2 linked regions of the Saccharomyces cerevisiae S288C genome follow. Changing the gene in region 1 together with any one later gene gives a genetic interaction. Each region holds a gene or a part of one and is shown in the gene's direction. Other genes may lie near its edges.

Region 1 (3,026 bases):
AAATTGAGAAGGTGGGGTAGAAGCGGATGGTGGCTGCGGTGTCACAGATGAAACATGGCTTGCATATCGAGGAGAAATAGATCTTTTAGTTTCATCGGGAGCACTCCGGACGTCATTGTTGCTATCACTGATTTCTGGATATCGCAGTGAAGGAGAATCATTAGTGTACGGCAACAGGTAAACGAACAGATCATGATAATCCCATTGGTAGGTGTTCAAAGTAAGTAGTAAGTTTTCCAGGGACTCGTTATCTATCGAGTTCTTCAGAATGACAATGCAACTCTGAAAAGTAATAAAAGGAGGAACCATGGAAGTCATTGGAGGCAGCATTTTCACCTGTAAAATATTGGTATGGTATATGATTCCGCCTATCAAATATTTTACCTGGGCCCAAGTCTTGCCCGGAGGGAGATTATCAATCCTTATGGGAATACCATTTGACTGCGAGTACGTCTTTTTCCTAGGAGCAGCTTTTGTGCTTGCTGTTGAGCTTTCGGTCGCAGAACGGGCAACAAAGGCACTGGCTGAAGCAGCCGACTTGGCACTATAGTGTGGTTCTAGAGTCATTATAAAGCAAGCGTATTGTAAGGAGAGACAGCAAACTCTCGTGTATCAGCCAACTGAACTGGAGGCCAAGACCAATCTAAAAAAAAAAAAAAATGAAAGAAACAAGTGTGGGAGGAAGTCTTGTTAACTTAACAGTTAAGCAAGCGTAAAAACCTTTAGGAAAGCGCACGAAAGAAGGCCAACATTACGACTATGGAATAATACAATGCACACAAACAAAAGGTAACATTTGAAAAATGGAGTAGAGAATATATTCCATTCCCCTAATTTTTTGCGGGTCTTCCAGGGCTGCGAACCCATCGCTCAAAACAAGCGCAGTGTCAATTAAGACATCATTGAACTAAAACGGAAAATTTGCTTGCGCCACACACCCTGGTCAATCGTACCAAGGGATATCACTCTGTACGGGTGGGAGGAAGGCGCGGCAATTAGAATGTGTGGGTGCGGAAGCTCGCCGCTCCCATCAAGAGAGTGGAAGACGTATGGTCTGGGTGCGAAGTACCACCACGTTTCTTTTTCATCTCTTAAGTGGGATTCTTACGAAACACGTCACAGGGTCAAAAGAAAGAGAACAAAAGCAATATTGTAATTGTCTCAGTCCACGGCAATGACATGGCATGGCCCCGAAGGCTTTTTTTGTCTGTCTTCCTTGGGTCTTACCCCGCCACGCGTTAATAGTGAGACAAGCAGGAAATCCGTATCATTTTCTCGCATACACGAACCCGCGTGCGCCTGGTAAATTGCAGGATTCTCATTGTCCGGTTTTCTTTATGGGAATAATCATCATCACCATTATCACTGTTACTCTTGCGATCATCATCATTAACATAATTTTTTTAACGCTGTTTGATGATGGTATGTGCTTTTATTGTTCCTTACTCACCTTTTCCTTTGTGTCTTTTAATTTTGACCATTTTGACCATTTTGACCTTTGATGATGTGTGAGTTCCTCTTTTCTTTTTTTCTTTTCTTTTTTCCTTTTTTTTTCTTTTCTTACTCTGTTAATCACTTTCTTTCCTTTTTGTTCATATTGTCGTCTTGTTCATTTTCGTTCAATTGATAATGTATATAAATCTTTCGTAAGTATCTCTTGATTGCCATTTTTTTCTTTCCAAGTTTCCTTGTTATGAAACGTTTCAATGTTTTAAAATATATCAGAACAACAAAAGCAAATATACAAACCATCGCAATGCCTTTGACCACAAAACCTTTATCTTTGAAAATCAACGCCGCTCTATTCGATGTTGACGGTACCATCATCATCTCTCAACCAGCCATTGCTGCTTTCTGGAGAGATTTCGGTAAAGACAAGCCTTACTTCGATGCCGAACACGTTATTCACATCTCTCACGGTTGGAGAACTTACGATGCCATTGCCAAGTTCGCTCCAGACTTTGCTGATGAAGAATACGTTAACAAGCTAGAAGGTGAAATCCCAGAAAAGTACGGTGAACACTCCATCGAAGTTCCAGGTGCTGTCAAGTTGTGTAATGCTTTGAACGCCTTGCCAAAGGAAAAATGGGCTGTCGCCACCTCTGGTACCCGTGACATGGCCAAGAAATGGTTCGACATTTTGAAGATCAAGAGACCAGAATACTTCATCACCGCCAATGATGTCAAGCAAGGTAAGCCTCACCCAGAACCATACTTAAAGGGTAGAAACGGTTTGGGTTTCCCAATTAATGAACAAGACCCATCCAAATCTAAGGTTGTTGTCTTTGAAGACGCACCAGCTGGTATTGCTGCTGGTAAGGCTGCTGGCTGTAAAATCGTTGGTATTGCTACCACTTTCGATTTGGACTTCTTGAAGGAAAAGGGTTGTGACATCATTGTCAAGAACCACGAATCTATCAGAGTCGGTGAATACAACGCTGAAACCGATGAAGTCGAATTGATCTTTGATGACTACTTATACGCTAAGGATGACTTGTTGAAATGGTAATTTTCTTTTATTTTTTTGATAAAACTACTACGCTAAAAATAAAATAAAAATGTATGATTTCCCTCCATTTCCGACCAATTGTATAATTTTATATCTGCATGACTTAATAATATAATATAATACTTATAAAATACGAATAGAAAAATTTAAACCGATGTAATGCATCCTTTTCTTTGTCGTCTTCGGATGATCTGCCGTGACAGGTGGTTCGCGCAAATCAAGCTGGTTTAGAGAATTTAACACAGAAATAAAAAAGGAAGATTCAATCTTCGTTTTTGTTTTATATCTTACTATAAAAGTGTTTTTTTTTAGTACGACGAGAAGTTAGAGTAATTATAAAAGGAATGCTTATTTAAATTTATTTCTTAGACTTCTTTTCAGACTTCTTAGCAGCCTCAGTTTGTTCCTTAACGACCTTCTTAACAATCTTTTGTTCTTCAATCAAGAAAGCTCTGACGATTCTTTCCTTGACACAGTTGGCACATCTGGAACCACCGTAAGCTCTGGAAACAGTCTT
Region 2 (3,763 bases), on another chromosome or scaffold:
TAATAGTTACAAATGGAAGATATATATCCGTTTCGTACTCAGTGACGTACCGGGCGTAGAAGTTGGGCGGCTATTTTGACAGATATATCAAAAATATTGTCATGAACTATACCATATACAACTTAGGATAAAAATACAGGTAGAAAAACTATAATGAGTAAGGATAATAGGTTAGCAAGTATTTTGCTGCAGCCTGTAGCATCATCCTCTGGAAATTGTACTGAATTCCATGACTCAAAGTTGCATACTCTGCAAGAGGAACTTAATTTCTTGCCACTAGAAGGAGTTGCGTCGAATGTTTGCCCGCCGATGTTTAGAGGTCATAAGAACTACGTGTTTGTGTTATATTGTTTGAATCAAGTCGATCTCGTTACGAATTTGCAGGATTCTACAAAACGTTACTACCCACTGCAAATATTTAAAGATTGTCAATTGAGTTCTTTGGTTCAGAAGGATTTTTCACACTATTTCCAACTCAGCAGGCAAAAGGAAGGGGAAGATCGGAACGATAGTGATACCACCTTGGTTAATGTCGTCAATTCTGGAGTATCCCGCCATAGAAGTCAATTACTAAAGATGTGTATTATACCTAGAATTTGTTCCTTTGACAAATCCAACTCCAAAACCTACAAGCTAATTCAGGAATATGTTAATCGCTTTGAAACCGTTTTAACAAAATTTGGCCCAGAAAAAGATTTCACCAAAGTTTACGCTAACTGGTCAAAACTCATTGAGTCGTTTAATGAGCTTATTTTACATGACCTGTTGGTGAAATGGCAACAATGGTCTGAATTAACTCAGCCAAATGCCACGGTCCATCAGAACATTCCGAATGTTCTCAGGGAACTCGTAATAAAATTAACACAAAGGTACTTTACATTCCAACCTTCATACAGTTGTTCGATTGATGAATTCACAACAATTTTACTTAATAAAAATGCTTTGAGTCTCTTGGACGTTTTCAGAAAACCCAGAAAATATAAACTGAATTTTGGTTTATGGCTAGATTGTCAAAACGGTATTTTAATTTTTACAAATGGTATTGTGCAGATGGCAGATGAAATTACAAGTGAGAGGGTGAAATCCTTTGTCAGGCCAGCACATCTCTTGGTATTGGAAGACCATTCAAATGATGAAGCAGTCAAGAAACTAATGTTTTTCACTTTTTCAGCGATATTACAATGCTTTACAGATGAGATTCTGAATTGTTAAAACGGGCTATCCATATTACATCTGAACCAAAAAAAACTTTTCTTTGCTGTTTACTTTAAATCTTGCTTAATGTGAAGATTTTTTTCTGTTTGCCCTTTCACTAGGAGATTTTTAACCTAATTTTACCAGCCGATTCGTTAGTAGGAATGCATTTTTCCAAAATCAGGAATTTTTACGTCATCCCGCTCTCCTTTGAGATCCGGGCAAACTTCTTATTTTAGCCACTCGAGAATTTTTTTCTTTATTATAAAAAAAGTAATTATGCCTCCGCACTAATCTTAAAAAGCTTTTTAACGTAAGTGGTATACTGCAGACCAGGACCATTGTTTTACTTCATTGCCTGAAATAGTATCTAGGTTAGATATTGATTTTTCTTACACTTCAATAAAACAATTGCATTCGTTATACATTTTTTTCTTTCCAAACATTTGCTATAAAAAATTTTTTGATCCCTCGCCATACTAATTTTCTATTGTTCCTCGAAATTAGTGATAATCCTCGAGAAATATTTGGTGAGCTATTTTCTTTGTGCATTATATGAAATTCATGTCCGTATAGTTTGTTTTTTTAGCAGAAGACAATATAAAATGGAAAGAGTATGGTTTGCAAAATTAACAAATAAAGGAACTATTAAAATCGGGTATATCTCATTTATACTTCTAAGTTTGCTATGTCAATCTCTGATTGGGCTGGTTAATGCTGATTTTAATTATGAAGGCTGTTACAGTGCCGCGGATATCCAGTCTGCTGGACTGTCTCTGAAAAACTCATACATATATCAATCAGTGTCATACTGTCAAAACCAGTGCCCTGAGTCAGCAGTAGTAGCATTATTTAACGGGTCAGATTGTTACTGCGGTAATTCGGTAAGTTTTCTGACTTCTTTGACGAAATCAACAGATTCAAACTGTGGAACTAAATGCTCTGGCTGGCCTTACCAAATGTGTGGAGGGTCATCGTACATGAACGTGTATGTAAATGCTGAAACTTTTGTTTCATCGGTTGAATCTTCCTCTTCCAAAGAAGGGTCTAGCACTTCCTATATGCCCTCAACAACTTCTTCATTGTCCTCCGCCCAAATTTCTTCAACTACTAGGAGAACGTCAACAGATATGAAAAGTTCTGAAATGATAGCCACGACAGTTTCTACCACTTCAACAACCTCTTCCTCGACTTCCTCTACTACCTCTTCTACCACCTCTTCTACCACCTCTTCTACCACCTCTTCTACTACCTCTTCCTCGACTTCCTCTACTACCTCTTCTACCACCTCTTCTACCACCTCTTCTACCACCTCTTCTACCACCTCTTCTACTACCTCTTCTACTACCTCCTCTACTACCTCCTCTACTACCTCTATCTTTTCTGTTACGTCTAGCTCCTCATCCATTACATTGTCCTCATCTGAGCATACCACAGTCGATAGCCGTACTTCTTCACCCTCTTCCACCTTGGTGCCAGTGTCCTCGAGTAGCAGCACACTATCAACTCCAAAAGTGACCTCAATGACCCCTAGTACGTCATCAACGATACCAATAGTTACCTCAGTGGAACTAGTGACTAGTGTGGTTACAAAAGCGATCGTGAGTACTTCTGATCAACATCAGGAAACAATATTTGTTACGAGGACATCCGTGGTTGAACGATCTTCTGAGGTAGCTACTGCTACTGCTGCCGCCTCAAATAATAGATCTAATTCGACTTCGAAGCAGCGTCTGAGTGGTGGAGCCATTGCCGGTATTGTTATTGGTGTTGTGTTTGGCGTAATTTTTATTATTTTGATTCTATTGTTCCTGATATGGAGGAGACGGAAATCGCACGACCAATTAGACTTGGAGGAAACGAAACATTATCAGCCCTATTCGTTCGGTGATGAGGATGCAAATCCAATAGGACCGCCTCCCTCCTCTGGTACGACAAATTGGATGAGACATTCAAGGGGTAATACAGCGGGTTCTATCGGTACAAGTAATATGTATGGTTTTTCTATGAGTAATGGTGCAAATTATAGTAGTCCTAGTTCAAACACCAGTGGAAGCATCATAAACAACTTGGCTGGCTTACAAGATGCTACGGTTCAGAAACAGAACCTTCCATCGACAGTTTTTGAAGAGGCAAATACTTTGAATAGTGCAAATGAAAGGTTCAGTGCCAATTCTTTACCCGACATGATGATGAGCGGACCATTGCAAGTGGTAAACCCTGATAATCCTGATAATCCTGAATTATCTAGTACCGTATCTCATAATCGAGCCTGAAAAACTCGCATAAACTCTCAACATTAATGGTAATCAACTGGTTCTGCTGGACGGAGCCATTCTAAATCATTAACTTTATAATATCATGTTTTATACCCTAATATTTAAACAATTTACTGCTTTTGGCACTTCAACTGTTAGAAAAAGAACAATAATATTTAGTATTTAGTTTCATTTTTAAATTTTCTGATTCACTTCATTTGCAGCTTCTAATGATGTTTGTGGTACAAAAATATAAACAATTTTAAAATATTAAAAAAAAATGCTTCCAATCGGATTTGAACCGATGATCT

What was found. A genetic interaction does not mean that the proteins touch.
Region 2: of GPP1 (region 1) and WSC3, extra expression of one rescues a mutant of the other (dosage rescue), as found in Saccharomyces cerevisiae (one study listed by BioGRID).

What each region holds. Positions count from the first base shown.
Region 1 is NC_001141.2:253,359-256,384, forward strand, and holds GPP1 (glycerol-1-phosphatase GPP1), read left to right. Parts: upstream 1-1,756; coding exon 1,757-2,509; downstream 2,510-3,026. Other genes in the region: YIL055C (uncharacterized protein), read right to left, coding at 1-567; YIL054W (uncharacterized protein), read left to right, coding at 1,185-1,502; 60S ribosomal protein eL34 RPL34B, read right to left, coding at 2,868-3,026. UniProt on the Saccharomyces cerevisiae protein: Major isoform of glycerol-1-phosphate phosphohydrolase involved in glycerol biosynthesis. Plays a role in osmoadaptation and required for adaptation to anaerobic conditions.
Region 2 is NC_001147.6:113,845-117,607, reverse strand, and holds WSC3 (Wsc3p), read left to right. Parts: upstream 1-1,799; coding exon 1,800-3,470; downstream 3,471-3,763. Other genes in the region: NDJ1 (Ndj1p), read left to right, coding at 154-1,212.